Linked DNA regions of Diceros bicornis minor. The protein of the gene in region 1 interacts with the protein of each later gene in a biochemical or structural test. Links are inferred from orthologs where the notes say so. Each region holds a gene or a part of one and is shown in the gene's direction. Other genes may lie near its edges. The genes, in order: CDK9, CTDP1 and CCNT2.

Region 1 (7,310 bases):
GACTTGGGCTAGCTTCCCAGCCAGGGCCACTCACAACTTGCTTTGTGATCCTTCACAAGAGACTTTACCTCTCTGGGTCTCAGTTTTCTCATCTGTGAAATGGGGTCACAGTTGCCCCCACTTCCTGGGAGGATGAAAGGAGCAAATGTTGGCCCAGGCCAGTGCACTGTGGCCTCAGCAAACCCTGGACTAGGGAACGGCGGCTGTTGCTGAGGGATGGGGGTGGTTCAGGCCAGGAGCAGACTGGCACTGGCCAGGAACACCCCGGAGCAGGCGCATGGCGTGAGAGCCGGGAGTCCTAGCCCCGGCCCCGGCGCGGCTGTGTTGCCGTGGTGGAGGTGCCTTGTCAGTGCTAGGCTGGCCCTGCCGTTGGCCCGGGCGCCAGGGCAGTTGCCGCGTCCCTGGGAGGATGAATGGGGCTCAGTGTGGCGGCTCCGCTGAGCTGAGAGCCCCCTTTGTGCTGCCTTGAGTGGCCGTTGGGAGTGCGGCTGGGGACCTGCTGGCGGGTGGCTGTCCCGCGGGCCCTCCTCAGCCTGCGCTGGAGGCCAGCCCAGCCCAGTCCACGCTCTGCAGCCCTGAACACACAAGTGCCTTCCTGCCCCCAGGTCTTTGCTTGCGCTGGACCCACACCTGGATGCTACTCTTCCCTCCACTGGCTCCATCTTTTGCTTCCATGGAGTCTCTGCAGGTCTAGAATGAGCCATAGTGTCCCCAGGAACCCTGCTCTGATTTCTGTCCCCTCCGTCCTTGCCCCTCTCCCTCAGTCTATGCCTCAGTTGCCTGGTTTGGCCAGGAACCATTAGGATTGGAGACCTTCAAGTTCATAGTCAAAGGCATTGGCCCAGGCAGACCTGAGTCCAGACCCCACCTGCATGACCTTGGGGAAGTGACATCACTTCTCTGAGCCTCGTTTTTCCCATCAGTAAAATGGAACAAATACAACATCTTCACATGATCCTGTAGCGATGAAATAAAACATTTGTACTGAGAGTGTCATCCACGTTACAGACACTTTGTTTTCATGGCATGTTCCAAGCAGACCTCATGCTCCCTGAGAGAGAAACTAGCCTTATGCATCCACACTGGCCCCGTGCCTACTATGCTCTTGGTCTCAGTCGATGCCTTTCCCCAGCTCGACCCAGTTGTCTGTCCTGGGGGCGGTGTAGGATGATGGTAAATGACCCTGGGCTTTGAGAGCAAAGAGACCTGGCTTTGAATCCCAGCTGCAGAGCTTCCTGGCTGTGTGGCCTTGGGCAGGCCTCTTTACCACTCTGAGCCTTAGTTTCCTCTTCTGTAACTTGGGCCCAATAATAGCAACCTCCTAACAGGAGTGCTGGAAAGTTCCAGGAGGATGACACATATCAACACTGCCAGGCACAGAGTCAGTACCTGGCTGATGTGGGCAGAACATCATGGTGTTACAGGGCTCAGGGCATCACACAGCCATGCTCAGTCCTGAATCTCTATCCAGTGACCCCTTGTCCCCCAGATGTATGAGCAGCCAAGAGTAGCCCACCCATGAGCCTGTCTTCTCCTTCCCTCCATATGCCCCATCCTGTCTCTGCTCAGGGGAGGAAAATCGAGAGTTCAGGCCAGGGTCAAACAGCTGGCTAGTGGCTCCCGTTCGTACTCCGTGCCTCAGTTTCCCTACGTGTTAAATGGCAGCAGGACCAGGCGCTCTCTCAGAGCCTGGCCAGCCAGTCAGCAAACATTTACTGAGTACTGGCCAGGTGCCTGGCCTTGCCAGCTTAGCCAATCCATGGGGCAGGAACTATTTCCCCCGAACCAGCCAATCAGATGTCAAAGTCAGAGAGAAATTGTCTCTGGCCAGGACCTAACTTCTCACTTCCACGTGGGCGATCTGGGCCCCAGGCCTGGGCAGCCTGGGCAGCTTTCCGGAGGGCTCCGGACCACTCCTGCCTGCCTCCCTCCATCGGGCAGGGCTGAGGGCCTGAGGCTCCAAGGGGAAGTGACTGGCGGATGTTGGGGTTCAGACCAGGGATGGCAGGGTGGAGGTGATGACACCACCGGAACCCTCTGCTGAGGCGTCTGCCCACAGGATGTGACTTAGGGAGGCTCGTGGGAAACAGGCAGGGGCCCCAGCCTGAAAGTTTCAGGGTAGAAGCCACCAAAAACCATAGCAGACCCCCCAGTGCTACCATCCCCTCCCACACCTCCCATGGGCAGCCAGGACACCAAGCCCAGCGGTGCTCCGCCCTAGCTGTGCCCCAGCTCCACCTCCAGCCTCCACGGGCGGGGTCCTGACATGAGTAAGTGCTTGGGGTTTGTGCCAGACTGACCTGGTTCAAACACCAATACGGTCACTGGCCAGCTGTTTGACCCTGGTCAGGTGATGTCACCTCTGAGTTTCAGCGTCTATACGTGTACAATGGACGTGGTAATAGTACCCACCTCGTATGGCTAAGAATTGAGATAATTCCCATGAAATGCTAAGTGTACAGCTTAGACCATTTATTTTCCCTCAATAAATTGTAATGACTACAATTATTGTTATTTTCTCCCTCCTTGCCCTCTCCACCCCCAACTTAGCCAATGGCCTCTCTGCTTCTAATAGTGTACCCATGAAGCTGACCCCAGAGCACTCCCTGACACCACACTCAACTGCCTAAAACCCTCGCTGGCTCCACAGTCCTCAGGAGAGGGCTCCCTGCTCCTCACCTGACCCTCAAGGCCCTCCCTAGCAGGACCCTCCCCCAGAACGGGGTCTCTGGGGACACGAGGATCACCAGATCCTTCAAGGCAAAGCCATGTAGGGTAAGAGCTGGGAGGAAACCCCAAGGGCTTCCCGCAGTTGGAGAGGGTACTGGGGTGCAATCAGAGAGCACAGCCCTGAAGGCGGGAAGGCCAGGGAGTTAGGAAACAGGAGGGAGATTCTGGTGGCCACAGCTTGGGAGGGAGCTGGAAAGAGCTTCAATTATCACAATTTGGTTTTTCCTCAAGACAGTGGAGGGAAATACATGTAGACTCCACTTCAGAATGATCTAGTGTGCTGTGAGGGGGACAGATGGAGAGGCCAGACTGGGGAGGCCAGGACTCAGGATCCATCAGCAGAGGACTGGAAAGGAGGGTCAGATTGAAGGGTCACAGAGGAGGTAGGAAAGACAGCTTTGCTGGGGGCTGGTTGTTGAGTAGAGTTGGAGGAAGAATTGAGAGGATCCTGGAGCCAGGAAGGTATGAGAAAGATGCTGGGGGTTGGTGTAGAGGAAGGGGGCACAGGGTCAGAGAAGAGATGGGTGAATGGTGGGCTTGGTGCCTGGCATAAGGACCACAGGCCTCAAACACACCACTGCTATACTCCTGGCCAGACTGTAAATAACCTGAGTCGGGAGAATCCTTTACAGATTCAGACAGACCAGGTTCGAGTCCCAGTTTTGTCACTGTGTGACCTTGGGCAAATGACCTTGCTTCTCTGAGCCTCAATGTCCTCATCTGTAAAATGGGTTAGTGATCCTGACTATGGGGCTGTTGATTTAGGATTCAGCGGAACGCCCAGCACTTCCTGAGCACACAGGGGTGCTAAGTGAATGCTAGCTATTTTTGTGATTACTGATCCGGGCGCAACTCGGCGGGGACCGGGGTCCTGTGGGTCTCATCCCTGCCTCCCAGAGAACAGGGGGTCCAGGGCTGGAAGACCCGCGCGTTACTCCCTCGCCGCCTTCAGTGTCGCCGCGCCCCCTGGCGGCCGTCGGTTGCCATGTCAACGGCGGGTGGCTGGGGCCGGGGGAGGCGAGGCGGCGGCGGGGGCCGTTCTCCCTCTCAGGACCGGAGGCCGCTCCCTTGGCGCCTCCTGCCTTCGCTTGTCGGCTGGGGGGGGGGGGCACTCCGAACCAGAGAGGAAGGGGCCTCTTGCGGCAGCTCGCGTGCGGGGGTAAACTGAGGCACGCGGCGAGGCGCCCCGCAGCCAGGTGTCGAGCGCGGGGCCCCACCTCCGAAAGCGGAGGAGGGGCCGCGGGCGGTGACGCGCCGAGGGCAGCCGGCGGACAGTGGGCTGGCGGGCGGCGGTGGCGGCGGCGGCGGCGGCAGGTGCGGCCGCGGAGGGTGGGAGGGAGGAGAGAGGGGGCGGGCGGAGGGGGAGGGGAGGGCGAAGCCGGGGCACCTCCCCCTTTATAACGCGCCCCCTCCCGGACTCTCGGGCCGCCTCCTCGTCGGCTCTTCCCGTCTCGCCCCCTCGCCCGGCCGCCCCGGGCCCGGGCCCGGCCAGGGAGCCCCCAGGCCGCGGCTCGGGGGCCGCCCCCCCGCCCGTCGACCCGCGCAGCCCGGCGGAGGCGGCGCCGTCGGAGGAGGAGGAGGAGCAGGGCACTGCGGCTGGCCCCAGATCGGGCGCCAGAGCGGCAGCGGCTTCGGCAGCAGCAGCGGCCCGGGCCGATGCAGCGGGACGCACCGCCCCGAGCCCCAGCCCCGGCGCCCCGGCTCCCCGCGCCCCCGATAGGGGCCACCGCCAGCAGTGGCGGCGGCGGAGGCGGGGGCAGCGGCGGCGGCGGAGGCGCCTCTGCAGCTCCGGCTCCTCCTGGCCTCCCGGGAACTACAAGTCCCAGGGGGCCTGGCGGCGGGCGGCGAACGGAAGAGGCGGGGTCGGCGCCGCGAGGCCGGAAGTGGCCTTGGAGGCGGAAGTGGCGCGGCCGCGGAGGGGCCTGGAGCACGGCGGCGGGACCCGGAGCGGGCGCGGCGGCGGCGGCGGCGGCTGGGGGCGGCGGCGGCGCGCTGGAGGCGGCCATGGCAAAGCAGTACGACTCGGTGGAGTGCCCTTTTTGTGATGAGGTGTCCAAATATGAGAAGCTCGCTAAGATCGGCCAAGGCACCTTCGGGTAAGGCTGAGCCCCGAGGGACCGGGAGCCCTGGGCCTGCACCCCTCAGGGCTGACGCCGGGAGGCCCTGGGCCAGGTCCGAGGTGGTCGGGAAGCCACCGAGCCCCAGGCTTGTGCCTTGCTCTCGCTAGGCCGCGCCGCAGCCCGCCGGAGCCTGACAGAGCCGGCTGGCGGGGAGGAGCCTGAGGCCCGTGCTGGGGGGCGGGGAGGGGTTGCAGAGGGGAGCCCGTGAGGGGAGCGAGATCTTTCGGAGAGACGCCCGGGTGAGGAGAAGGGACTCAGGGAAGGAAGTAGAGGCTCGGAGAGGGGCCGCAGATACCGGGTGGTGAGGTAGCTGAGCGCCCTGGGTCCCCGGCCCAGCCCCGCCCTGGAGTCCCTTCTTTCCTGCTCTCCTCCTCTGCGGGGGGAGGGGCGGGCCCTGCGGAAGCGGCCTGATGAGCCCTCCTGGGTCCCCTTCTCGGCCTGCAGGGAGGTGTTTAAGGCTAAGGACCGCAAGACCGGCCAAAAAGTGGCTCTGAAGAAGGTGCTGATGGAGAACGAGAAAGAGGGGGTGAGTACGGGTCGGGACGGCGGGCCTGCCAGCTCTCCTGGGCACGGGGTTGGGTTTCCATCCAGCGTCTTCGAGAACTCTCACGTTGAGATTCACTGTATGTGCGGCAGTTCGGGAATTTCCATATCCCAGGGAATTTGACTTCCAAATTAAATCTTTTAATTCAAACATTTTAAAACATTTGATATTTCATTCTTAGGTAAATATGCTTGGGGCCAGGAGGGGGAGCTCATGCTTGCACTGAGTGCAGCTTGGTTCCTGAAGTTAGGTGGCCTTTAAACACTTGATAGCATGCAGTTTTGTTCAATATAAAAAAAACTACATGCAGTACCTTTAAAAGGATAACTAGTGCTCAATTGAAAAGGAGTAACCTGGTTGTGTCCCCTCTCTCCCATCTTAGCTCTAGTCCAGCTTCCCAGAGACCTGCTTCTTAGCAAGGAAATTTTTCTAATAGTTATTTTTGTTGGTTTTGTTACCAGCCAGCAAGTTAAACACAGGCATAGAGCTAAAATTTGAAGGTTAAAGAAACTATGAAGCATTTAGTGATTAGTAGTAAAGTGTTCGTGTTAAGTACTGCTATTTGAATTCATTGTCTTAAACCAGCTCCTTGAGGGTGCATACCGATCTTAGACCTATTTTACAGCTAAGGCATCTGAAAGCTGATTTCAGAGCCTGTGATTTTACTCTGTCTCCTAACCTGTGCTCCTGAGGACTGATCTCATGGCTGGTTCCTTGGTCTGTAATGTGCTCACTCACTTGTGACCCCCTCCTGTCGTTCTCCCCCTGCAGTTCCCCATTACAGCCTTGCGGGAAATCAAGATCCTCCAGCTTCTAAAACATGAGAATGTGGTCAACTTGATTGAGATCTGTCGAACCAAAGGTAAGTCTCTTGGATTTCATCGCTTTTTTCAGACGGAGAAAATGAGCCTTGCAGCCTAAGGCTGTGTTTGCAAAGTTGGAACTGGACACGCCTCACTTGCCTGTTCTTAACCCAGACATACCAACTGTGACTGCTTTCTCTGGTCCTTTCATCGTAGCTGGTGCTTCCCCAGGGCCTGCCACAGCACCTGGCCCAGAGGAGGCACTCAGGAAATACTTTACCAGTGAAGGAATGCACAGCCGGATGTCCGGGTGTCCATTGGTTGGAGGGGGTAGGAGCTGGTTGTGGGAAAATGAGTTGCATGTGGGATTCGTAACTTTCTTTTTCTTGCTCCCCTCCCCCGATTCTTCCTGCCTCAGCCTCCCCCTATAACCGCTGCAAAGGCAGTATATACCTGGTGTTTGACTTCTGTGAGCATGACCTTGCTGGGCTTCTGAGCAACGTCTTAGTCAAGTTCACGCTGTCTGAGATCAAGAGGGTTATGCAGATGTTGCTCAACGGCCTCTACTACATCCACAGGAACAAGGTGGGGACCAGAGTGGGAGAAGAAAGGCCAAGGCTTGGGCTGACCTTTGCTCTCACTGCTGGGTGGGTGTGGCTAAAGGACCCCTGGTAACCTGACTGAGCCCTCAACCTTGTGCTTCCTGCAGATCTTGCACAGGGACATGAAGGCGGCTAATGTGCTCATCACCCGTGATGGAGTTCTGAAGCTGGCAGACTTTGGGCTGGCCCGGGCCTTCAGCCTGGCCAAGAACAGCCAGCCCAACCGCTATACCAACCGTGTGGTGACGCTCTGGTACCGGCCCCCGGAGCTGTTGCTCGGTGAGGACTCCCGAGCGGGCAGAGGGGGGCAGGGACTGGGCACTTACCCGGCCTCACCCCCCCACTGCCAGGGCTTCCTGAGCCGCTGGCCCTGGGACATTGCGTCTCAGGAGGCCCTCGGGCTCAAGGGGCCCTCCTGGTGCGCTCTTCTTCCCAGGGGAGCGGGACTACGGCCCCCCCATTGACCTCTGGGGTGCTGGGTGCATCATGGCGGAGATGTGGACCCGCAGCC
Region 2 (7,886 bases), on another chromosome or scaffold:
CTTCTACAAAGCCCAGGTTAGGGAAGGCATTCCTAAAATTGAGAACTTCTATTTATCAAAAGATCTCATAAAGAAAATGAAAAAGACAAGCCAAAAATGGGTAGACGATGTGGGTAACAGATAATAAAGGCTCTGTATTCAGAAACCATAAGGAACTGCCACAAATCCATAAGACAAAAGCCCAACAGAAAAATGAGTGACGAGCATGAACAGGGATTTCACAGAAAACACAAGGCAAATAAAAAATAGGAAAAGATACTAAGCCAAAATGCCTATTAGGAGAATTCAAAGTAAAACCACAACTTTTAATTTTAACACAGATTTCCACCTAGATTGGCAGAGATTAAGGAGTCTGATAATACCAAATTGTTGAGGATGTGGTGGGAGTATAAACTGAGACAACCATCTTCAAAACTAATTTGGTGTTCATTATCTCATAGATCTGAACATGTGAACATCCTACGACCCACGGTTGCACACTCAGGTCTACACCCTCAGGCATTAACTCCTGTGCCCCAGGAAACACGCAGGATGCTCACTGCAGCACTTCCCATAACACCACAAAGTGAAAACAATTCCAGTCTCCATCTACAAGAAAATGGACAAATACATCCTGCTACATTCATGCAACAGGCTATTACACAAGAGTCACAATAAATAAACTATAATCAAATAAAATAATAAGAACTTGGATACATAGTGATGAACAAAAAAAGCCATTCACAGATAAGAAACATACATACGATGCATTTTTATAAACGTGGAAAACAGGCGTAACTAAACGATAGCTTTGTGTGTACATAGACACACACACAGCAAAACCCCATATAGAATAATGGCAACCAGGAGACTGAAGCTGGCGGCCACGCTGGTGGGGAACTGAGAGGACAAGATGGGATGGTGAGGTAGTTATAACAACACTGGTAATGTTCTAAACTGTAGGTGGGCTGACGGGTTCATTCTAGGATCACAGTCTTTGGTATGTACACAGTTTACGTAGTTTTTAAAGTGGGGAGAGAAGAACACAGGGAGAGAGAGATCCGAGTAAAGCTATGAGACGTGACCACCGGGCAGAGATGTAACTGTAATCCTCACCCATGTCTTTCCCCCATCACTTCTGTTTCACAGAAACATTGCCCCTACTCCCTCAAGGACCAGCTTGCTCTTCACGTATTCCTGGCCCAGCCTGGACCTTCCAACACAGCCCCTCCCTACTGGAAAAGTCAGCCCTTGGTCTCACCTGAACGCTCCACAGTGGTTGACCCACTGACCACTCCCTGCTCGCTGCTCCTCCCCCTTCTCTGCCTATGACATTACTGTAGCCACCTCCCCACAAGAGAAGCTCCCCTCACTTAATGTCATGTACACTGTCCCCCCAGAACCCCCAGGAACCTGCTCACTGGCCCTGCTCTCCCACCAATGGCTGACTTGACTACATGCCCAGGCAACTCAGACATAACAGATTCCAAGGGGACTCATCTCTTCCCAATGTGTCCTGTCTCCCTTTTCACTAACCCATCCAACAAGTAATAAAACCCACTGGTTAACTCAGAAACTCTCCCTGCGACCCTCTCATCTACTGAGATAATCCCAGAACTGGGACATCTACTTCTGGGCTCTCTCTGCCCTTAGCTGCTAGCTTTGACTTAAGCACAGATTGGGTAAGCACATATGTCAGCTCAAAAATTTTTAATGACTACCCGCTGCCTACCAGGGTGGTTCTCAAACCTTGATACACATTAGAAGAACCCAGTGAGCAAAACTCCTGATGCTCCAGCCCCACCCAACACCAATTAAATTAGAATGAGGGATGGAACCGTGGTATCAGTAATTTTTCAAACATCCTAGGCCTGTTCCTCACATTTTTTCCACAAAGGACTCTATTAAGAGAACGCCCAGAACCTCAATCATGATGGATGGTCCTTATGCCTAGAATGCCCATCTCCTCTTCTCCTCATGCCAAGACCCCATCCACTTCTTCTTCCAGGTAGGATGACGTAGGTAGAAACCAGCTATGGCTCCTGCTGCAATAACTTGGGAAAAATAGATAAATGCAAATATCAAGACATCAGATAGGTCTGGAAAGTAACAGGACTGAAAGAAGATTCTAGAGGAAAGAACCATTCCTAGACAAACTTCTTTCTCTCAGTGGCCCTTTCCTTCTCTAAGGCATTTGATGAGTCTGAGCAGTCTGACCTTGAGCTTGACAAAGACGGGGAGACTGGACTAACATGAAGATAACTCCTCTGCTTGGGCTTGCGCGACAGACTGGAAACAGATGAGCCCCAGACACCCGGTGGCTTCCTCACAGGACATTTGCTTACTACTAGGGACACATGCAGGATTGGGGGTATCGCTGGGTTGGCAAAATGGTGTGAAATCTCCTGCAGTTGGAAGTGATTCAATTCCCACTAACAGGAAGGGCCCACAACAGCACACAGGAAGGCTCACTTCTGAGACATCTGAAACCAGGAGTGGACTGAGTCATACCTAAGACTTGAACACAGCCCTGCCCCTAATCAATTCTTGATGGAATGGAGGTGATTGGCCCTTCACCCTGTATGCCTACAGAAGAAAGGCTCAGGCATCCTGTTCCTACGCTTCTTCGGTACAGCGTCTGGCACACTAGTAAAAACAATCCCAACAGCTGCATCCCGTGTTTCTCTAGAAGTCCTGGGGAGAGCACCGGGCCTCATGGGCTAGTGCTGAAGGGAGCGAGCAGAACCAAGGAGTGAGTCCTGAGGATCTCACTGGGCAGCAGCTGGGAGGAGCCAAGAAGGCTCTCTGGAGCATTGCAGATCCGCCTCTTGAGGCTTCTAGACTGTTTGGGGTGACTTTAAGGAGGCGAGGAGCTGGAAAACTTGCAATAGCCAGTGAGCCTGAAAAAATTTGTTCTTTGTGACAGCTAGAGTGACCTGGGCGTGGTGAGAGGGACTGAGCTCCTTTTGTCAGCAAAAGGATTCAGGCAACAGAAAAAAACAAAACGCCAGCACCGCAAACAGGTCAAGATAAGGCCTATACAGCTAATGCGTGGCCTTCTGGCGTCCATTAGGATTGTGAAACACCAACCGCCCCCACGGCAACAATGTGAAAACTGTGTTGCTACTTCCTAGGGAGCAGGGTCCAAGTCACACTACTAGAAGATACATGCTTTCACTCAACAGCGCCAGACTGTGTTAACCCCAGAAAATGATGCTCCTTTGAGTGAGGGTACTTGCTTCCCGGACAACCAGAGGAAAAACCAGCGACAACTCTGTCTTGCTGGGCAGTGTGGCTTCCTTCAACACCCAGCGAGCCTGGACCTGGGCTTTGAAAAAAGCTTCTAGAGAAGGCTGTATGGAGGCTCAGAGGCGGGAGTAAGAAAGCGCTGACGAAGAAAATCCTCTTCGAAGGGTCCGGAGTCCACGAGGCCCCCATAACACCGAGATGAAATCATTTCTGTTTACCTGGTGTAGGTCTACTCCTATTTTCTACTTCCTCTTGAGTCAATTTCCGTATTTTGTCTTTCTAGGAGTTGTTCCCTTCACCGGTTACCTGATTTGTTGGCACACGGTCGCTCATGACGCCCTCGCGCTCCTTTCCACTCCTCTAAGGCCGGTAGTACTACTTCTCCGTCTTGCTATCCTGACTTTAGTCATCTGACGTCCCCTCTTCCTCCATCTAGCTCACGGTTTGTCAAACTTGCTCACGTTTTCAAAGCAGCACCTGCCGGCCTGCAGATTTGCTGTTTTCCGTCGCATCCACTCCTGCCGTGATCGTGACTCCTGCCTCTGCGCCGGGTCGTCCGCCGTTCCTTCCGACGCCGCAGGTCGCCGCGGACGCGCTCCTCGGGGCCCGCACCCGCGCGGCGCAGGCCGGGCGCGCCCGTCTCCCTCCCCCCACGGGCGCTCGCTCGCTCCTCGGCGACCGCGAGCCCTCCTCATCCCGAGCGCCGTCCGAGTGCCGCAAACCGGGATCCGGCGGCTCGCTTCCCGTTTCGCTGACCCGCCCCTCTCCCGCTCCGCGGGAACGGTCACCGGCAGCACACGGCCCGCCCGGAGAAGGCGCGCACACGGAGAGACGGGCGCCCCGGGCCCCCGCGCGTCCTCACTGACCCGCCCCTGAGAGCGCCGCCGTCGAAGCGCCACCCCCCCCCCCCGCCCGGCCGTTTCTCCGCGGCCTCCGGGCTCTGCCGTCGGGGCTCCGTCAGGATGCGCCTGCGCGTGAGGCTCCACAGGGGCCGCCCCGAAGGTGACCTTGAGGGCCCCGGGCGGCCCCGAGGGCACCTCTCCCCTGCGGGCCAAGGCGGGAGGCCGCCCCACGGGGGCACGTCGGCAAGGCGGCGAGGAGGAGGCCAGCGTCGGGGACCCCGAGACACTCGACCGCCGGGGCACATGAGCGACCCGGCGCCCTCCGCCCTCTGACCCTGGACGGCGCGCCGCATGCCGGGACCGCAGCTCCACGACGCCCGCGTTGTATGCCGGGACCAGCCGTCTAACGACACCGAATCTCAGCGCCTGACGAAGCCGTGGGACGGCGGCCCGCATTGCATGCCGGGCCTCGTAGTTCTCACGTCGCCGGGCCTGAGCTCGTGACGGGCGGGGCTGTGGGTCGGCGGCCCGGGTTGCATGCCGGGACCCGTAGTCCCAGGACGCCAGCGACCCTAGGGCAGATGGGGCGTGTGGTGACACTGTTCCTGCCGGGCCCACCCCGCACGGTGGTCCTAGGACGCTTCCGGTACTCGGGCCGGCGCAGCGCCTCTCGCGCCCGCGTGGGCGTGTGTTTACCCGCAGGCCCCTCGGCGTACGCGCACGTACGCGGCGTCACGTGACATCGCACGCCGTCCCGGAAGTCGGCGCGGGCCAGGGCGGCGGGTGGAAGCCGGTGCCGGAGCGGGAATCGCAGCGCCGCCGCCGCCGCTTGGGCCGGGTCGCCCGCCCGCGATGGGCGTCGGGCCCTGAACGCCCGCCCGCCGCCGCGTTTCCTCAGCGACCCGCCGGCCGCGATGGAGGCGCCGCTCGCCGGCCGCCTTCCCGCCGAGGGCGCCGCGCCGGCCGCCGTGGCTGAGGTGCGCTGCCCGGGCCCCGGGCCGCTGCGCCTGCTCGAGTGGAGGGTGGCGGCGGGCGCGGCCGTGCGCCTCGGCTCCGTGCTGGCAGTGTGCGAGGCCGCCGCGTCCGCGCAGCCCGCTGGGCCCGCCCCTGCCCGCGCCGGCGCCGGGGGTTGCGTGCGCGCCGAGCGCCGGTTGAGGTCGGAGCGCGCCGGCGTGGTGCGGGAGCTGTGCGCGCAGCCCGGCCAAGTGGTGGCCCCCGGGTGAGTGGGGCCCGGGGGAGGGGAAGGGAGGGGATGCCGGACCAGGAGAGGGGATGGGGCCGGGGTCTGGAGGGGGTTTCGGGCCAGGAGAGGGGAAGGGAGGGGGCCGGGGTCTGGAGGGGGTCTTGGTCCCGGCACTGGGCGGGAAAGGGTTCCCAGGACTGCAGCTGAAGGGGCTGTGCTCACTGTGCGTTTGCGGGTGTTTCTGAGGCTGGACGACAGTCACTGCTTGTGATTTTATCAAATGCAGGTGTTTGCCTTTAAAAGAATTCTTGAGCCGCCGAAGTTGCACTCTAGGAAACAGTGCGGTCGTTCCTCTTTTTCTGTAGTAGGTGCCTCCCTGTCTCTGAGATGCCGCGTTTGTAAGTTAAGAAAACTCGGGCAGCTCCACGCTTCTCGCGGTGTAAACTGGGGGGGGGGGAGTGCGTTTCTTTAGGTTTGAGTAAATCTTGTGAAGCGCGGTTGTGAAACCTGGCGCAGTTTTGCATCAGAGCTCGGGAAGGGGGTGCAGTCTCCCGCGAGTGGTTCAGGGCGACAGAATAGAAGCACACGCTCCCACCGTAGGGTCTAGCTCTCTGTACGTGCGTTTTAACCTCATAAAGGGCCTTTTTTCTTTTTTTGCAGTGTGTGAATCCGATAGTCTACCTGTCTGAATTTACCGGTGTTGTGCTCTGAGATTTGATTGATGTGTGGGCACAGGTGTGTGCCCGTGGCATGACTGTGGTTGTCATTGTCAGGAGCAGAAAGCCAGGGTAGGTGAGCGTTCCTGCGTGTAGTGATTGGTGCGCAGCTTTCCTCTGCGGAGCCACAGGGTGTCCTGGGTGTTCAGGCCCTTTCTGCCCACGTTGGCCCTCCTCTGGCGCACGGTGCCACTTGCTCTGGTCTTGGCTCCTCTCCCTGTGGCCTGCACTGATCCTCTGGCTGTTGAGCATCTGCCGCCTGCCCTCCACCCCCCAAGAAGCTGATGACCAGGATAGGATGGGAAAGGACTGGTCTTTATCTCAGCCCCAGAATCCTCATCCTGTGTTCCCTTTTCCTAGGTCATTGTTTGGAGACAGAGTCTGGGTCCTCAGCCTTCAGCTCAGGCACCCACGCCTACCCACGGAATGCAGGTGGGGTGGAAGGGGAGCTGCCTCGTGGCACCCTCCACCGGAGCCCCCTGCCTGGCTTCTCGGAAGACAGGGGCTCACTGTGCCGTACATGTGACACTCTGGTATGCTGCTGTTGTTATCTTGGAGTCAGATCTTACCTGACCATCGCTTGCGCCCTAATGAGCCCATAAACCCGTCAGTCCGTAAATTATGGAGGTGAAGCCCAATGCTGTGTGTCGCTGTGTAGAAAACCCTGAAGTGAAAAGCTCTTCTCCGTGTTGTTCTGTTTCTCTGGTGTAGAAGGCTACCAAGGCCCAGACAGGGCAGTGACAGGTCACAGCTGGTGAGAAACACCACATGCATGCTTTGACCCCATCAGCTGGTCTGGCCAATCGCAGGAGCCCAATGCATTGATCTCACCAATCAGCCAGTTCCCAGCTGTGAATAGTCTTTTTCTTTTTGTGTGTTTGGTGTTGAGATCCTGGGGTGTCTCACTGCGGTGGTCTGTCATGGGTTCCTTGAGAGCCTGTTGAGTGGCAGCGTTTCTCCTGGGATGCAGGTGTGAGTGAGTATGAGGAAGGCACCAGCACAGAGCCAGGCTTACCTGGCTGGAGCTGTTGTTGCCATCGTCATCGCTGTCATCAGCAGGATTCATCCTGACCGCATCGGGTTATTCTCTGGCAATGAACAGTTCTAGGAGCTTAGAAATGTTGCATCTGGGTGTAGTGGACATGATCACCCCATTACCGTTGCGACCTGTGGTAAGATTGTATGTGTTTGTAGTGCTTCATGCCATCAGGTAGAGGTAGGAACTATCCTTACTCCACAGACTGAGGAGGGGACTGAGGTCCCAGAGGTTTTGATGTGTGCAGCACCTTACCTTGCTGAGGCCTGCCTCGTTTTCTCCTCCGTGTTGCCCTCTCCTTAGGCCATTCTTCATCCGGAGAGTCTCAGTGGGGGCAAGTAGATAGAATGACGATTTATGTTTTTGTAATATTTGTGTGGGTTAAAATTATCTTGATTTGAAAATATCGTGACAGGGTACCATTTGTCAGAAACCAACTCTGTTAGTTATTAGTTTACCTAATGATGTCCGTCCTTGTTTGCTCTTTTGTCTGTCGTCATTGACTGGGAGATGCTGAAGTCCCCAAAAAAAAGGAAGATACGTAAAATAATCAGGGAATGAGTTACCATCGAGATGGGTAAGGAGGAGGCTGTGGGAGCGTCTTTGTTCTCAGTGGGCGTCTGACCAGCTTTGTCTGTGCCCCGTACCTGGTTTGTCTGCAGGAAGAAAGTCTGCCTCAGCCAGTCTGGGGTGAGCGCCGCCGGAGAGCAGGAAGGAGGATTGCTGGATAACGTGAAGGCCCAGCCGTCGCAGTATTGCTGTCTCCCTTGCTCTGTAGACTGAAGAATAAGGAAAACAACCTGCGATTAGTACCCGGTTTTAGGGTTCTAAAATTAGGTAGTGACGGTTTTTATTAAATTCTAAACACAGTTCAGTCAGTG
Region 3 (7,249 bases), on another chromosome or scaffold:
TCAGCCTTTTCTCTCCTTTGTTATCTAGTATTAGTACATTCACGCATTGCTTAACAACAGGGATATGTTCTGATAAATTTGTCCTTAGGAAAACTCGTCACTGTGCAAATATCATAGAGTGTACTTAAACAAACCTGATGGTATAGTCTACTACACACGTAGGCTATATGATACTAATTTTACGGGACCACTGTCGGACATAGTCTGTCGTTGACCAAAACGTCATTGTGTGGCACAAGACTGCACTTTTTCAAAATATACCCCAGAAAAAAAAAAATCCCATCACCATCAGATTCCAAAGGACAACCATTCACAGCCATCCAAGCATTTCTCTTCCTTGTACAGTACCCTTCCCCACATTTTTGATCTCTCCTAAAAAGTAAGCCAGCTCTGATTCAACTCAATTTATATTACCCAACCAGAATACTTAAACCTATGTTCAAGGTAATTACTTAAGATTAACTTAATTAAAATAAATACCCACTTATTTTGTTTAACTTAGAGACTATTCTGAGGCTTTTTCCCAATCAAAATTGAACAAAAGTGAATGGAAGTTGCCATTTCTACACAACACTGCTCACAACCTAATAAAAAATTTAAAGTTTATTTTTGAAAAGTCAATACATGAACATGTTAGAAAAGTTCAAAACGATCAAATTCAACCTATGTCTCCCAGAAGGAACTAATTTTATCTGGTTTCTTTGTGTGTATTCTTGCAAAGATAGTCTATGATTATAAAAGTATTCAAATGTACATATTCCTTTGTTCATTTTACCCAAACAGTAGCATCTTGTTTTTTTTTCCTGCTTAATACCTTAGTGGTCATTCCACATGTAAGCTGCTGCCTTCTTTTTGTAACAGTCTATTTTAAGTTGATAACTTAAATATGGACACACTCTAAAGCTCTACATTTTACTCCCTCCTCCGTCACCACATTTTATGTTTTGGATGTCACAATTTACTTCTTTTTATCTTGTGTATCCATCAACAAATTATTGTAGTCATAGTTATTTTTACTACTCTTGTCTTCTAATCTTCATACTAGCTTTATAAGTGGTTAACCCACCACCTTTACAACATTAGATTATTCTGATTTTTACTACATATTTACTCTTACCAGTGAGATTTATACTTTTACATGTTTCCCTTTTACTAACTAGTGCCCTTTCATTTCAGCTTAAATAATTTCTTTTAACATTTCTTGTAAGGCTGGTCTAGTGGTGATGAACTCCTTTAGCTTTTATTTGTCTGGAACATTCTTTCTTTCTCCAATTTATGAAGGACAACTTTTTCAGATAGACTATTCTTGGTTGGCAGTTTTTTCTTTCAGCACTTTGATGCCTTCTTGTTTTTAATAGCTGAATAATATTTCATCACATAGACATACCATAATCATCCAATCCTCAATTCATGGACAGTCATGCTTCCAATCTTTTGCAATTATAAATTGCTACTGAGAATATCCTTATGACCTATGATGTGGAACATCTTTTCACATGCTTATTTGCCATCTGTATATCTTCTTTGTGAGATGTCTGTTCAAATCTTTTGCCTATTTTTAAATTGTATTCTTTGTTTTCTTCTTATTGAGTTTTAAGAGTTCTCTGCATATTTTGGATACAAGTCTTTTATCAGATATGTGTTTTGCAAAGATTTTCTTCTCGTATTTTCACTCTCTTAACAGTGTCTTCTGCAGAGCAGAGGTCTTTAATTTTTGCTTATGAAGTCCAACTTAATTTTTTCTTTCATAGATCATGCTGTTGCTGTTCTACCTAAAAACTCATTGCCAGACACAAGGTCACCTAGATTTTCTCCTATGTTATCTTCTAGAAGTTTTATAGTTTCGCATTTTACATTTAGGGCTATGATCCATTCACAGTTAATTTTTGTGAAAAGTGTAAGGTCTGTGTCTAGATTGTTTTTTGATTTTTTTTTTTGCATATGGGTGTCCAGTTGTTCTAGTACCATTAGTTGAAAAACTATCCTTTCTCAATTCAATTGCCTCTGCGCCTTTGTCAAAGATCAGTTGACTATATTTGTGCAGATCTGTTTCTGAGATCTCTATTCTGTCCCATTGATCTATTGTGTCTATTCATTTGCCAATATATGCTGTCGTTGCCAACACATACTGTAGCTTTGAGGTTAGGTAGTGTCAGTCTAATTTCTTTGGTACCATGTTGGCTATCTTGGGTCTTTTGCCTTTCCATATAAACTTTAGACTCAATTTGTCAATATCTATAAAACAACTTGCTAAAATTTTGATAGGGATTGCATTGAATCTGTAGATCAAATTGGGAAGAACTGACATCTAACCATATTGTTTTCTGATCCATGAACCCAAAATATCCTTCCATTTATATCTTCTTTGATTTCCTTAAACAGAGTTTCGTAGTTTTCTACATATAGATCCCGTATATATTTTAGATTCATACCTAAGTATTACTTTTTGTAAACGGTATTGTGTTAATTTCAATTGTACATTACTGATATATAGGAAAACAATTGACTCGTATATTAATCTTATGTCTTACAATCCTGCTATAATCACGTATTAGTTTTGGTTTTTTAATACTTGGAGATTTTCTACATAAACAATTGTCATCTGTGAACAAAGTTAGTTTTATTTCTTCCAGCCCTATCTGTTCACTTTTTGTTTCCTTTTCTTACTGCATTAGCAAGGAATTCCAGTACAATATTGAAAAGAATGGCGAGAAGGGACATCCTTGCCTTAGCAGGAAGGCTTCTAGTTTCTCACCATTAAGTATGATGCTAGCTGTAGGGTTTTTATAAATGTTCTTTATTAAGTAGAGGAAGTGCCTCTGTATTACTAAGTTGCTTCAAGTTTTTATTATGACAGTGTTGGAGGTAGACACTTTATAAACGTTGCTTTAAATCAATCTATCCTGGAACTTCCAAGCAGCATAAGATGTGAGGCAAGCAAGGTAGGTAAGAAATGAAGTTTAGACAGTTGTTCATAATAACTGCCTACTGCAACAAAATCAATATCTCAGTACTGTAGTGTAATGGGGACAGGCAGAGCCCCTAAACGATGACAAAAGCCTGGAGCTTTAATCAGGAACTCACTTAAAAGTAGTATCTGTTGCGTTTTTTTAAAAAAAAAAAAGTATGTCTGCCTATACTCTGTAGTCTTTGGCAAATAGTTAAAATTTAAAACTTAGTCGGCTCAGACCCAGAGACTGACTCCCAGAGTGGAGCTCTGCGGTATTTTCTTGCAGGGACGGGAGAAGGGGTTAATCAACAAGTGTGTGCGCGGTTACTGTATTAAATACTAAAGATAAATTTTTTACTCAGTTCCTCTTTACTATCTGCTTCTCCTTAACCTTCTCTTTTAAATCATAGCCTGGTTTAAAAACACACTACCGATAGGGACTAGAAATTCAGTTCTAGCTACTAATTGGGTAAGTAACCTTAACCTCTAGCAAGTAACCTTAACAAATAAACCCACGGTCTGCCCAGTTGTGGGATTCAAACATGATAACGTAGGAAAAAAGCACTTAAGTGCGGCACAAACATGGAACGTTCCTATGCACTCTTTCCCAGGAAGGTCCTTCCCAGAGCTGCCCGTTGGGCGGAGGCTGTTCCTCAAGGACACGGGAGCCGAAAACCACGACACTGCGCGGCGAACCAACAGCAGGGAAAAATGGAAGCTGTGGTGTGAGACAAAACAGGAAGGATTTTCTCTTTTTAAAGGGCCGCCAGACTCCCAGCCCAAGAACTCGCCCGGATTTCAGAGCCCACGCCCAACCCACGGCGCAGCCGCGTGCCCCCCTCTCGCGGGACCCGACCCCAGGCCAGCCTCTTCCCTCCTCTCCTCCCCGCCCCTTCGCCCCGCCAATCCTAGGTCCGGCATGCACCGCGCCGACCTTTTCCTTCCGAGACGACCCCCACCTTCGGCGCCTCCAAATGACAAACTGCGCGGGGCATTGTGGTCCCGTGCGCGAGAGCGACGCAGGGGTCCGGAAAAAGAAAGCAAAAGACTAGGGCGAGCCGGGAGGGCGTTCCCCCGCGCATGCGCATGGGCGGCGGCGGGGGTGAAAAGGGGCGGTGCGTCGTCTACGGCGAGCGGAGTGGGGCGGGGTCGTGCGGCCTTGGCGGGGAGTCCGCGAGCCGGGAGGGGAGGGGGGAGGGTGAGGGAGCGGGCGGAGGAGGAAGTGTCATGGCGTCGGGCCGTGGAGCTTCTTCTCGCTGGTTCTTTACTCGGGAACAGCTGGAGAACACGCCGAGCCGCCGCTGCGGAGTAGAGGCGGATAAAGAGCTCTCGTACCGCCAGCAGGCGGCCAACCTCATCCAGGACATGGGACAGCGTCTCAATGTGTATCCTTTCCTATTCTTGGCCCTCCTCCGCTCACGCCCTGTCCTCTTCACTACTCGCCCGGTCGCCGGGCCTGGTGCCCCGTGAACATGGCGCCGCCACCTCGGCCTTCCTGGGCTTTGGCCACGCCGTAAGGGAAGGCAGGCTCGGGCTCGGGAGGCCGCGAGCGGCCAGCGGAGGAGGGGAGGAGGAGAGGCGTCCGGGAATGCGGGCTGGGAGGCTGCGTTGTGTAATCTGTTTGGGGCCGCGCGTGGTGGCGGCGGGGGTTGGGAGTGCCGCCCAGGCGAGAGGGGGAATCTTAGGGATTATCGCAGAAGAGAGTCGGCTGCTTCGACTTCCCCTCGTCCGAGAAGGGGTTGAGAGGTAGGAGGGTTCGCGGTGCTGAAAGGCGTTAAGTGTGCTCCGCAGCCTTTCCCCGCGCTGCTCGCGGGTTTGATGGCGGTTCTCTTGTACCTTGGGAGCGCCCTGGACGGAGGGCTTTTATGTTCTTGGCGTGGTTTTGTATGGGTGTGCGCGCGCGCGTTGCAACTGTGTGATGTTGAGTTGAGTCAGTCGTAGCCATTGATAAAGCCTTCCTGGGCTCGCTTAATAGCAATATTAGAGTGGAATGCTCAGCAGTTACTATTATTACTGTTTGTTTGGCGTCGAGCCTTCTCTCTCCCTCGGCACCCTCCGTCACAGCCCTGCGGGTTTTCGGGGTTTGTTTTTGTTTTGTTTTGTTAACAGTTTTTGGTTTGGGTTTGAGTTGGAAGCATTGAAAAAAAACTGTAGGTTGGGAGTTTTCCATCAAAATTATTTTGGAAATGAGGTCTTGTTCTTCTCAGATATTTCCTAAATGATACGTTCCAGCTCTCAGCTTACAATAAACACTGCGATTGTTTATATGCACAGATTTTATATGCACCATTCTTTCACCAAATTCAATAGAAATGTAAGTACTATTTTATTGTCTGTTTTTACTACCACAAAATCTTAAGGTAAATCGATACGCAGAAAGAAGTTAGTTGATCATTGATTTTATTGTTGGATTTAGTGTTGTAAGTTAACAGTGAAGGTAATACGCATGATAAATTTTTTGATTCAAATGCGGGGTTGTTGGTTGGTTGGTTTATTAATTTGTGATGACAGGCTGCTAGGCGCTATGTTAGACTCTGCCAGGTCTTTTGAGCTAAAAGATAAAAGAAACGTTTCTCTACTCGGAATTATTACATCAGTGTTGATTTAAGTTTTTCATTTAAATTAATCAAACTTTTGAATAATTTCAAACTAATGTACAGTGTAATTTAGGCAAGCCTAGTCATTCTGTTGTGTATCTTAATCTTATTCGACTTAAATTGTTTCAAATATTGTGAATTGGGCTTAATTTAATTGCAGTATTCTTTTGAAATGACCCTTTGAAAGAGTTGAATGTTCAGCAGAAATATTTCATTTGCTAACACAATTTCTTAAGATGTCAGACGTTCCTGTTGATCACACTTCAGCATTAATTGTCTACTTAAATTTTTGGTGATTCAAATGTCAAATCTTGCCTCAAACATGCTATGTCAGAGTTTGAGTATGTATATATAGTTTTGAAGTAAAACTTACCCTCGAATACTAAGGTACTGATTTTGAACATAACCTGTAAATGTTGACATACTGAGTAGCGACGTTCAGTTGAAATTTTTATTTTAAGTTACGAAAGATGTAACTTTGTTCTTTTCACAGTAACATGCTGTAACATATTGTCTTGCATCTGTTAACAAAGAAAATTGTGTATTTAGAAATATTTAACCCCATCTTAATTCTCATTATATTTTTGGCTCTTTTTATCACAGCTATTTTTAGAATGCAATTCTGAAAGGTGTGTGTAGAAAAATAGACTGTGTAAGACTATGCTATTTGTGGATTGTCATTAGGACCTTTTTGCTAAGAAAACAGTCTTTGAGAAGGTCCTTGAAATATTTTCTTGGATTGGACGGAAAAGCTTCATGGTTTAGATTGATTCCTATTTTAATCTTTTCTGATCATAATTCTGATTTAGTTTATCAGATTAGCATGTAAGTTTGTCTTGAACAATATGTATTTTTGTATACGTTTTGGTCTCTTGTGATCTCCATTCCTTCTACTCTTTCTCTTTTAAATCTGTGTGGTTTTTGCTTTATTTCCATTTTCCTAGTTATTTCTTGTGCACAGAACTTAGGTCAATGATAGTGTTATGGAAGAGAGAGGAAGCCTTTTTGGTAATAACATTTAGATTGAAGGAATGAAATTTAAATTGTCTCCAAAGGAAGTAGTGAACTAATGGATACTAATATAAATGTGGCTTTCCCTAAGCAGCCCTTGAAAATGTTGGTCAAATCACAGGTCAGAATAGTTCTGGAAATTCTTGATGTGGGTACAGATGTCCCATTTACAGATGTCCCTGTAGAAAAGTAAGAATCAGGCTTACTTTTCTACTTCTGGTAAATGATCTCACCACAAAACTTCATTTTTGTTTTTGAACCCTCCCTCCTTCATAATTTGTCTCTATGGCCTGGTTGGTGTACTTTAAAACAAATTATCTTATTTTCAGCTAAAATTCACAGTTTTAACTTTAAATTGACTGGTGAAGCCCAGATTGCTTGGATTCTAACTTTCACTATTTTATTTAAATGCCATCATTCAATAAAAAAACCAGAATATTAATTTTTAATACCCTACTTAGTGTCTTATGTGTGTATGAAGGTCAACTTCACCATTTTACATTGAGTCATTATTAGGATAATTGAAATCTGCTGTTAATTTCTACTTTGAAAAGGAACCTTGTACCCTTCATATCTAACCTTTGTCGTCTTTACCTTTGCTACTATATCAAAAGTGGTTTTAATATTTGTGTTGATGCACTTGCATCAATTGCACAGCCTCACTCTTTTATCTTTTTTCTCCCTATTCTTT

The links.
Region 2: of the proteins of CDK9 (region 1) and CTDP1, one has a biochemical effect on the other in vitro, tested with the Homo sapiens proteins (3 studies listed by BioGRID). The link is inferred for Diceros bicornis minor from reciprocal best matches to the Homo sapiens genes CDK9 and CTDP1.
Region 3: the proteins of CDK9 (region 1) and CCNT2 form a complex in vitro, tested with the Homo sapiens proteins (4 studies listed by BioGRID, with this or other methods). The link is inferred for Diceros bicornis minor from reciprocal best matches to the Homo sapiens genes CDK9 and CCNT2.

Annotation. Positions count from the first base shown.
Region 1 is NC_080767.1:35,786,406-35,793,715, forward strand, and holds the start of CDK9 (cyclin-dependent kinase 9), read left to right. Parts: upstream 1-4,215; 5' UTR 4,216-4,386; coding exon 4,387-4,826; intron 4,827-5,294; coding exon 5,295-5,376; intron 5,377-6,165; coding exon 6,166-6,256; intron 6,257-6,615; coding exon 6,616-6,782; intron 6,783-6,906; coding exon 6,907-7,078; intron 7,079-7,235; coding exon 7,236-7,310. UniProt on the Homo sapiens protein: Protein kinase involved in the regulation of transcription.
Region 2 is NC_080755.1:67,832,375-67,840,260, forward strand, and holds the start of CTDP1 (RNA polymerase II subunit A C-terminal domain phosphatase), read left to right. Parts: upstream 1-4,872; 5' UTR 4,873-4,984; coding exon 4,985-5,289; intron 5,290-7,886. UniProt on the Homo sapiens protein: Processively dephosphorylates 'Ser-2' and 'Ser-5' of the heptad repeats YSPTSPS in the C-terminal domain of the largest RNA polymerase II subunit. This promotes the activity of RNA polymerase II.
Region 3 is NC_080749.1:20,537,983-20,545,231, forward strand, and holds the start of CCNT2 (cyclin-T2), read left to right. Parts: upstream 1-4,153; 5' UTR 4,154-4,177; coding exon 4,178-4,335; intron 4,336-5,182; coding exon 5,183-5,264; intron 5,265-7,249. UniProt on the Homo sapiens protein: Regulatory subunit of the cyclin-dependent kinase pair (CDK9/cyclin T) complex, also called positive transcription elongation factor B (P-TEFB), which is proposed to facilitate the transition from abortive to production elongation by phosphorylating the CTD (carboxy-terminal domain) of the large subunit of RNA polymerase II (RNAP II).